Linked DNA regions of Drosophila melanogaster. The protein of the gene in region 1 interacts with the protein of each later gene in a pairwise test. Each region holds a gene or a part of one and is shown in the gene's direction. Other genes may lie near its edges. The genes, in order: Rox8 and CG13031.

Region 1 (7,981 bases):
ACTCCATGCTGGAAATCATGGACAGGGAACTGCGCATCGCTGAGGACGAGTGGGATGTGTACAAGGCTTATTTGGATGAACTAGAGCAACAGCGTGTAGCACCCAACGTTGAGGCCCTGGACAAGGAGCTCGACGAACTAAAGCGCAGCGAGCAACAGCTTCTGTCGGAGCTAAAAGAGCTCAAAAAGGAGGAACAATCGCTAAATGATGCCATTGCCGAGGAGGAACAGGAGCGAGAGGAGCTGCACGAGCAGGAGGAAAGCTACTGGCGCGAGTATACCAAGCACAGGCGTGAGCTAATGCTCACCGAGGATGACAAACGAAGTCTGGAGTGTCAGATCGCCTACTCGAAACAGCAGCTGGACAAACTGCGCGACACCAACATATTCAACATCACCTTTCACATCTGGCATGCCGGGCATTTCGGTACCATTAATAACTTTAGGCTGGGTCGATTGCCCTCTGTATCCGTGGACTGGTCAGAGATCAACGCCGCTTGGGGCCAGACGGTGCTTCTGCTCTCTGCGCTTGCTCGTAAGATAGGGCTCACCTTCGAGCGGTATCGTGTAGTACCCTTTGGAAATCATTCGTATGTTGAGGTGCTCGGCGAGAATCGAGAGCTCCCGCTTTATGGCAGCGGCGGATTTAAGTTTTTCTGGGACACCAAGTTTGATGCTGCCATGGTAGCTTTTCTCGACTGTCTTACCCAGTTCCAGAAGGAGGTCGAGAAGCGCGACACCGAGTTCCTGCTGCCCTACAAGATGGAGAAGGGCAAGATCATCGATCCCTCCACGGGAAATTCCTATTCTATTAAGTAGGTTTAGAAATGGTAAAGATTTTACCTATAATAATGATGGTTTCCTTACAGAATCCAGTTTAACTCGGAGGAGCAGTGGACCAAGGCACTGAAATTCATGCTAACCAACCTGAAATGGGGATTGGCCTGGGTTTCTTCACAGTTTGTGTCACCGTGATTTTTCTTTCTCTTTTAAATGTATATTTATAAATTACTTAATTATCCCCATAGTATTAAATCTAAATCTTTCAAATTTTAAATGAGAAGTATTTATATTGTTATGTTTATTTCAGGTAAATTTTGAAATAAGAACGTCTTTGGTACATACTTAATTCAAAAGTTATTTATCTAGTTTTGTATAGCTTTTTTCTGTGTTTTTGGCTCCTCCTCGCTGTCGTCAGAGTCAGAGTCGGATCCAGAGATGTCATCGTCTATCCAGAGTGTGCCCTTTTTCTTCTTTTTTGCCTTGGTCTTGTCTACGGCGGGGGATTTCCTCTTTGTGCCACTGGAAGTTGCTTCCTCGACGCCTTTCTCCTTGTTCTCCTCGGCCTGCTTGAGTCCCTCCTCGAAGGCGTCGTTTACCTTCTCGGTCAGATTAGCCCTGGCTTCCTCGTACTTATCGTCCTTAAAGTCGTGCTTGGGCACGGCCAGCAGTTTCTCGATTTTTCGCTTTTTACGCTCCTCGGCCTCCCGTTCCCGTTCGCCCTGCTTCTCCAGCCAGGCGCGCACCCGCTTCTCCTCGTTGATATCCCGCAAACGGCGACCACTTAGATCGCGGCAAGCCTCGCGATTGGTTGTCTTTTCAATTTGCGCACCAATGGCTCGAAGCATGGAACCAAATCCTCCTTTGCCACCGAGCTGGCGGAGAACGCAGTGAACATCTCCAGATGAAATTTCTCCCTCCAAGCGCTTGCCATTGCTGACTAAGTAGTATTCCCCTGGTTGCAGGTTCTGTAAAAAAAAGGGCCACATTGCAAAATCTTATGAAAATTATACATAACATACTCACTGTTTTCTCCGCAATCCGACTGTAAAGCTCATCACATTTAACGTGATCTCCACAAGAAATTATATATTTACTGTTTATAAAAATATTTATGCCCATTTCGACGACCTTTTCGATAACGATTGTTATTTCTAGTCTGCTTTGTGCTGCATTTGCGCCCGCGGTGAGTGTGTTAGAGAGAGAAAGCGGTGATGCAAGCGTTATCGCCTGCCCTAGGGTTGCCCCCTTTTCGATAACGTTGCTTCAAATAACTTAAAGTCGCGAATTAATGTGTGATCCTTGTCATATTATCGCTGAATTTCCATTAAATACCCCTACGTAAGTAATTTTATAAAAAAATCTTGTCAAGTCCATACTCTTTATTGCATTTCCCATCTTGCCGCCATTGCGTTTTTATTTCTCAGCAAGTTGGCAGCCCTGGCTCTCGCACACAAAATCTCATTAATTAGTTCGCATTTTAGACGACGAAGGTAAAATTTTAGCGACGCGTTCAACGTACATTTGCAGCCCCTAACAACTTTGAAAGTTTCGCAAAATTAATACAAACCGGTAGCGGCTAAACTTGACCGTCAAATGAAGTGTGCGAACAGAGTGCAGAGCAAGTAAAATGCGGTAAATTTACAAACGCAGCCACGTCACAGAGAGCGCATTAAAGAAAAAAGAAGAGAGTGCGAATTTTGACAGCGAAATTCGAGTCTGAACAATGGACATTAAGCGAATGCACTATAGTGCGGCGGGGACGATAATTGTTAAGCCCAGTTTTCGGCACCGCTGTCAGGCAGCAGGGTCGGGGCGGAGGCGTGGCGGTTGTTGGTGGCGGGGGAGCGGCATTAAAAGATGGCAGCACAAAAGCGAACAAGATACATACATATACGTACATATAGCGGCAAGCTGAAAAGGCAAATGAAAAGTCCCGCATTCAAATCGTCTTGGTATTGGTATATTGGCATTAGTTTAAATACACTCAATAGCCAAAAGCGGAAAAAAGCAAAAGCAAAAGAAAAGTGGAGACTCATGTGAGGAAAACGCAAACAAAAAGACCAGCGCAAGACGCCTCTCTCTGCGTGTGTGTGTGTGCGTGTCGGTGCTAATGTGTCAGTGTGTGTGCGAAAAAGAGACGAAGAAAATAAGCAGCAAATGAGCAACCAAAACCACCCCGCCATTCCCTTTTCGCCGTCTCTTCAGTTCTGTGACTTTGACTGACATTTTCTAGCGCCGCCGCCGCAGAAATAATCAAAATCAAGTTTAGTTCTATGCAAATTAAAATTTGATTTCGCAAAGTGTGAAGAAGAAGAACACGAATCTAATGCAACCGTGTGTGTCACCCGCCCGCCGGTTTCGCAAAATTTCCCACATCTTTCTCTTCCTTTTCCCTGTTTTTCTTTCTCCTCATTTTGTTATCGACGGTCATTCATCTTCTAGTCGATTTTCGTCGTTCTCCTTTCGCCCTCGTCTCGCTGGCGTGCCTGAGTGTGCATTTCTGTGTGCTGTGCGTGAGTGGCCCAAAAAAAAATTTGTAAATGTGAATACAGAAATATATTAATTATAAACTAAATCATTTTGCAAGGCCCGCAAATTTGTTGCGAATGAATGGCTATTGTCAATTGTTGGCCATTCGCTTTGTTATAAAGACAGGCAGTCTCTTTCCCCTGTCCTTTCCCACCCGCCTCTCTCGCTCCGAAGATAGCTCACTCACTCTCCCCGTGTTTTTCGTGTGCGCCAGTGTGTGTGAGCGTGCGTCTGTGTGTGCGTGTCCCTGCACTGCTTTGCCGCCTTCTTTGTTCCCATCATGCGAAAAGGGGGCGGGGCGGGGTAGTCGATTTATATCCATATCATTTGCGCCTGTTTTAAGGCCCACCGATCATGTGCCATTAGACCTTGTCCCACTCTTCCGGTTATCAGCGCAAAACTAACCCAAATTTACCTCTCTCTTTTACAGCAGCAACGATTCCAGGGGTCAGCTTCGAAACCCGAAAAGTACACTCAGCCTGCGAACTTTCACGCTGTTTAACTTAGCTAACTAATTTTTGTACAAGAGCAAGAATAAGTAGTCGCAACCAAGTATTCATATGTACATTTATACAATCCTGTATATTGGAACGGACAACTATTTATAATCACAACAACAACATCCGGATCATCGAAGAAGGATCGAGCAATTCTGAAATACCAAGTAGTGTACACCAAGAAACCCCGAATCCAAATCCCAGGCCCCCAGGAAAGGAAGTCAACCGATTATAGACATATATATTAGGCGACTAATCGTATATTCCAAAACACTCCATTAGCGTTTAGTTAGGACAGATATATTTATACGTATACATATAGATGTTTAACGAAATTTTCAATTAGGCGCCAGATTAGGAACAAAATAAAGCAATAAACGACGAACCTCAGCGTTAAGCAAATAGATCAACCTACCTAGATTGAGCATATAAAGTTTATATAATCCAAAAAAATCAAGCCAAGCCGAGAGTAAGTCGAAAGTAGTAGAAAATCAAAGTATTCAAATCTCTCTTGGAGTTTCCTGTTAGCAGCTAGCACCAATTAGATTGCCGCAAATACACCTGTTTAATTAGCAGACACTTTAGATTTTGTACGTAGCTAGGAACTTAATCTGCAAATTTTTGATACATCCCCTTCCGATTAATGCGGCCAGGTGCAGTAGTTGCAATTCCGGTTTTAGTGTAGAGTCAGTAGATTGTCGCTGTAGCCTAGTGTATAATCAGATCAAAAAAGCCACAGTCCCGTGACATCCGACAGCCATGGACGAGTCGCAACCGAAGACCCTATACGTGGGCAACCTGGATAGCTCAGTGTCCGAGGACCTGCTAATTGCCCTCTTCAGCACCATGGGGCCCGTCAAAAGCTGCAAAATCATTCGGGAACCGGGCAACGATCCATATGCCTTCATCGAATATTCCAACTACCAGGCAGCCACAACAGCTCTGACCGCCATGAATAAACGCCTATTCCTCGAAAAGGAAATCAAGGTAAGCTGATTAGCTTCTCTTAAGTTATCAAGTGGACAGCGGTCATTTTCATTCATTTTGTTCGAAACTACACTCTTGCAACACACACATTCCCCACGACCAAGCCCTCATGTTATTTTAATTATGTAGAACTTAATTGATTATTACCTATTAAACGAATGCTCTTCGCAGGTCAACTGGGCCACCAGTCCCGGCAATCAGCCGAAGACAGACATCAGTTCGCACCACCACATATTCGTGGGCGACCTCAGTCCCGAGATTGAGACAGAAACACTGCGCGAGGCTTTCGCCCCATTCGGAGAGATCTCCAACTGTCGCATTGTGCGCGACCCTCACACCATGAAGTCAAAGGGTTACGCCTTCGTGTCGTTTGTGAAAAAGGCGGAGGCAGAGAACGCCATCCAGGCGATGAACGGCCAGTGGATTGGCTCGCGCTCGATACGCACCAACTGGTCCACGCGCAAGCTGCCACCACCACGCGAGCCTTCCAAGGGCGGAGGCCAGGGAGGCGGAATGGGTGGCGGACCGGGCAATGGGTCCGGTGTAAAGGGAAGTCAACGCCACACCTTCGAGGAAGTGTATAACCAGTCGAGCCCCACCAACACCACCGTATACTGTGGCGGATTCCCGCCGAATGTCATCAGTGACGACCTGATGCACAAGCACTTCGTCCAGTTTGGTCCCATCCAGGACGTGCGGGTCTTCAAGGACAAGGGCTTCTCGTTCATCAAGTTTGTTACCAAGGAGGCAGCCGCCCACGCCATCGAGCACACGCACAACAGCGAGGTACATGGAAACCTGGTAAAGTGCTTCTGGGGCAAAGAGAACGGAGGCGATAACTCGGCCAATAACCTCAATGCCGCCGCTGCCGCGGCAGCAGCCTCTGCCAATGTTGCCGCCGTTGCGGCAGCCAATGCTGCGGTTGCCGCTGGAGCGGGTATGCCCGGTCAGATGATGACGCAGCAACAGATCGCCGCCGCAACAGGAGCGGCGATACCCGGCCAAATGATGACACCCCAGCAGATTGCGGCGCAGTATCCATACGCGTACCAGCAGATGGGCTACTGGTATCCACCTGCGGTAAGTGTTGTATTCTTTAAATACGCAGTGACCTAAAGATTGACCCTAACTTTGTGCTTTTCTGCAGACTTATCCCACAACCCAGATGCAGACGCAATACATGCAGCAGGGCTACTATCCCTACGCCTACCCTACCAGTGCTCAGCAAGCGGGAGGAGTCCGTAAGTTTACTTTTCTCAGTTGCTGAATAATCGTGACCTTGGCTTAAACAGCTTGCATACAATTTTCAGCGGCTGGATACCGCATGGTGCCGCCGAATGTAGCATGGGGCGTGCCCGGAACTGTGGTGCCCGGTGTGACGGCTGCCGCAGCATCCGCGGCCGCTGCAGCGAACGGATCACTTGCCCCCCAAATGATGTACAGTGCTGCGATGCCACAATACCAGACCCAATGAGCTGAGATGTGACGCCAGCTTCGACGCCGTTTGCAGCATCCGGGAAGTCGCCCCCAGCCGCAGCCACAACCACCTCTGCTGCATCAGCTTCCGCACCTGCAGCAGTTGCAAGCGCATTACGCACGTTTAGGTTACGTACAATACCGAGTAGTAGCAAAGTCGGAGCCGCTCCTGGCCATGCCGTTGACCAGCGGCAGCAGCCACATTGACGGTGGCAATGTATCTGGAGATTATTAAGGATGCGCGAGTGTCCACTTTGAAGTTGTGGCTACGGTTGCGGCTGACTGCGGTGGAAGGAAGCGGAATCGGGTGTGGTATATAGCCCCCCAAAGTCGAACGTTAAGGCGGTGCGTGGAGCTCAACTTCAAGTGATCCACGCCGGCGACAACTGAAAGAACATCAATTGAAAAGCTCCGGGCGATGGGCGGGTAGCTGTAACAATCTAATCCAATCTAAGTACGTGTTAAATTAATTTAATGATTTCTAATTTAAGCAGATATAGGCGTATAAACGAAACGGAAATAAAATAAACCGAATGAGAAATTCAACAAAAACAAACAAATAAAAACTGAAAAGAGAAAATGCTAATTACGCGCGACAGAGTTAAAACAAAAAGAAAACAATCGAAACAAAAACGTGACAAAGCAAATTGTAATTGTAACTATGTGGAACATGTGTCAACGAAAACTGAAGACGGAAAGAGGGTAGTTTCAGTGGGATGAAAGGATAGCCGCAAGCAAGCAAGCCGAATGCAAAAACAAGAGGAAAAACAAATTTAGTCACTAAGAGAATGTAAATTCGAGCATACATATTGTATATTTCCAATGTGGAAAACGAAATGCGATATAAATATGTAAAATGTAAAATAAAGAAGCAAAAAAATATATAAAACAAGTGAGAAAACGAAGGGACGCTGGTTTTTATATTGAGGTAATGAATTAGGATGTGGAATTATTATTTCAAACTTTAATTTATATCATTGATGATAGAAGTGGTTACTACTACTACAAATCTGGTGGAGGATTCAGCGGAGTCTAAAATATAGTTAAAAAGTAATTAACTTTTACAATTGTGCTAAAAAGTTTTCTTAAGGTATAACATACATACATGAATGAATTTTATAGCTTTAATATTCTCTAGTGAGACGCAGTTTTTCTGCGAAACTAGTTTTCATGAATGCTTAATTCTTCTGCTTACTTTCTCTTAATTTAAATGCACCTGGTGATGTCAGCCGTTGCTCAATTCTCAATACACTACCAATGGTTTCCAATAGCTTAGAATTTTGTTGATGATTAAGAATGCAATTGATGTTTCTTGAAATCGATTTTATTTAGCGTATTCTATAGATTTCTTTATATATATAGTTTTATATGCATGTAGTTTTTTTTTGTATCTGTGTTTAGTAACTAGTCAAAGAACTCAAATTCCGGGTGGGCGAGCTGCGTTGAAGCTGGTTCAATGTGTCGCGATAAGCGACGGGCATGTGCGCGGGTGAAGATGTATCTGATCGATCTGATAACACCAGATCCATACGCACCTGCTAGGTACAACATTTTTGGGTGTGTTACTAATAATATAGGTGAATCGGAGACGATTGTATTTATGGCTGTAGGTACATAGATTGAAACAAAGGAACTAAACTAGACTAACCATACGGACAGTGATAACTATTAAAACTTAAATACGATTCTGCGCTGGTAAATGTATCTTTG
Region 2 (2,964 bases), on another chromosome or scaffold:
CAAAAACTGCGATTTGACGATAATGTTAAGGTCTCCCAATTCGATGATGCTGCCTTTGAGGATGACTTCGCCAAGGCATCATTCGATTTTGAAAAGGAACAAGCGGGTTCTGCCACAGCAGGTGCCGGAGGATCTGGTGCTATGAGCAGGAAGCAAAATATGCGAACCAGCAAGCTGCAGCAGCGCCAGGAGCTCATCAAGAAATCCGAGTCGGTAAACATATTTGCCAAAAAGCAGGAGGATCCCTTCGAGGATGACGAGTTCTTTAAATCACCAGACCAGGAACAGGCCATGGATCAGCACAATGATGACACTGAGGGCGGCAAATTTCAGTGGAGCGAGGACGCGAACTTTGCAAAGTTCGATGAAAACATGTGATTTGACCAACTGTTTGCCAAGGCATCGGGGCAGCGACCGGATCCGGACATCGATAACCACAACTATGCGGAGATCGATGTGGTCAACGACACGGACTTTTCATTTCTGGCCAATCTCAATCACTACTATCAGCAGCAGCGACTGCACAGCCTGCGACAGAGCTTGAATCGCCATGTTTACTGCAACTTGCCAGTCCAGCAGTTGCAGGAGCAAGTGAATCAGCCGATGAAGAAATCCATCGCCACATCTACAAGTCCCTGGCATGAGCCAAAGGTCAAGTCGAAGCCGCTGCAGCAGCTGCTGAGGAAGCCGAAAAAGTGGAAACTCAAGCGCACCCTAGATGACTTTCTAAAGTGTCTGATTATTGCGTCCTCGGAGCATGTGTACGATTATGATGTGCTGTGGTAGGATTGGCGGATTGGGAAGATGAGGAGCAGTCTTAGAGAAGAGAGAGAAATAAAGAAACCATACGATATTTAATTCGCCACATATATCTAGTCAACTCAATCGCCATTTAAACTTGCAATATCGTAACACTCCAACGAGGACTGTAGAGTTCCCTCTTACTCCCAGTTCTGCCCAAGCCAAAACATCACACAGCTCTGATCCTATTCCAAAGCCAGATTGTATATATAGATTTATCCAGCAGTCGATTCCAAGCAAGCCATAGAGAAAACTTAAACGAGAACAAGTGTTTGTTAAAGCTACTCCCCACTCGTCAAATAACGAAATACTCACGCCCCCGCCCCGAATCATCAATCGATCCGCAAATCGAAAGCAACTAATTAATTGCCTATGCTAGATGTCGTCTATTCCATATATATCGAATTATCCAAAGTGCAACCATTGTGCTAGCATACAATACCACATATATTCCTAGGGTACGTTTATGTTTTTGCATACTACAAGCATAATTTGTATGATTGTTTGATTACATAGTTAACTAACGACTAATTAGTTTAATTCCACGGCAATGTGTTTTTATGATTTGACTATATATTATACATAACTATATATTTATACGTAACTGAACAAGCAACTGAAACTGAACGATCAAGTAACTCCCAAACAGCTAAATAATATACGATAATTATACATACGAACCTATTCTTATACATATATATGTAATGCAATTATACGAATACGATAGTTATTGTCAAGTCCCTTTGTGTAGGGGATGTAAAAATTGGTTTTTGTCCCGTCATTTTGTTCTATTAATTAAACTGTGAGAAGCATATTACAAATGGTTTCATTTATTTGGACAAGTCAAGTCGTTTCCAAACTTTTGATTACTGAATTTTGTGTGGCAACATACATAGCCAACATATATAGCCATATCGGATCGTATGCAAATGGGTGGCGGTTGGCTGCTCTGCCAGCACCTGCCATTTAGGCCGCTTTTGGAGCCAAGTGTTTGACAATTTGGAGCGCCAATTAGCCAGGCCAGCTGTGGTCTTCTACGCCCACAATAACTATAAAACCTTTGAGTCGATCCAAGCCAATGCATATTCAGTTTTTGGATCTTGTGGCAGCAGCAATCTCTTTTGAAATGCAGCAAATGGTAAGCAAATTCTTTGGCAAGGATTTTGTAAGATTTGGCTCTTTTCTGTTTTCAGTTGATTCTCGTATCCCTGGGACTGCTGGCCAGTGTGGCAGCCAAGCCAGCTGTGGATCCAGCACTGTTTCCTTCGGCCTCTACTTTCGGACTCTATCCAGGATCAGGTGGACCTTTTGCTGGCGCCTATGCTGCTGGTCCCTTTGCTGGCGCTCCTTTGGTTAATCCTTTGGGTGCATCTCCCCTGGCCGTATCCAGCAGCCAGCGCTTGGACTACTTTAACCAGTTTAATGCCGCCTTTGCTCCGACTGCTCCTGCCCGCATCCTGGCTACTGCTCCATTCCCTGCAACTGGCGCCCGACTCATTCAGCCAACTCGTTTCCTTGCTCCTGCAGTGGCAGCACCATTTTTCTTTTAGAAAGCATTGAAATTGTTCCTTATTTTGTCGTGTTATTCAAAAATAAAAGTACAAGTTGGTTAACCACAATCATTGTGTCACTATTAAGTCGGTATATGGCTAAACTGTTGCTTTTTTGGCGACGTGCCAAGTACAGTGTATACAGGTGTGATATTCCTTAATAACAAATAATCGAATTGAATGAGCATGTTCAATAAATGGACAAAGAAACATTTATTTATAATATCGAGATTGTCTCTCTATATATATATATATATATTTTATACAATTTGTTGTATGAATCTAATATGAAATAAGTTTTTGATTAAATTTGTCATATATATCATAATATAATATCATTTGGTATCGAGTGTTATCACAATGTATTAAAGGTAGGCTATGTCCGTTGCAGATCACCAGACACCCTTGTAACCATATCCAACGTTATAAGTGGGATAGTAGTAGGGATAGGTGTACGGATAGGTGGTGGCGTATGGGTAATTGTAGGCGGGATACGCCGGATAGCCACCGCTGTACTTAACATAGGTGTTGGGATAAGTGGCCACCGTGGCGGGGGGCACGAAAACTCGATTCCAGTTTCGAGTGACAAACTGATGGCTGGTGGCCACGGGAA

What was found.
Region 2: the proteins of Rox8 (region 1) and CG13031 interact in a two-hybrid assay, tested with the Drosophila melanogaster proteins (one large-scale study listed by BioGRID).

The regions. Positions count from the first base shown.
Region 1 is NT_033777.3:24,042,252-24,050,232, reverse strand, and holds Rox8 (Rox8), read left to right. Parts: upstream 1-1,967; 5' UTR 1,968-2,120; exon of another isoform or gene 2,121-2,443; intron 2,444-2,511; exon of another isoform or gene 2,512-2,734; intron 2,735-2,864; exon of another isoform or gene 2,865-3,045; intron 3,046-3,220; exon of another isoform or gene 3,221-3,295; intron 3,296-3,741; 5' UTR 3,742-4,567; coding exon 4,568-4,795; intron 4,796-4,966; coding exon 4,967-5,875; intron 5,876-5,942; coding exon 5,943-6,036; intron 6,037-6,087; coding exon 6,088-6,269; 3' UTR 6,270-7,177; downstream 7,178-7,981. Other genes in the region: Atg6 (Autophagy-related 6), read left to right, coding at 1-814, 869-974; CG5986 (uncharacterized protein), read right to left, coding at 1,145-1,747, 1,806-1,901.
Region 2 is NT_037436.4:16,722,964-16,725,927, forward strand, and holds CG13031 (uncharacterized protein), read left to right. Parts: upstream 1-1,897; 5' UTR 1,898-1,927; coding exon 1,928-1,939; exon of another isoform or gene 1,940-1,994; coding exon 1,995-2,351; 3' UTR 2,352-2,412; downstream 2,413-2,964. Other genes in the region: Dab (disabled), read left to right, coding at 1-378; CG13026 (uncharacterized protein), read right to left, coding at 2,744-2,964.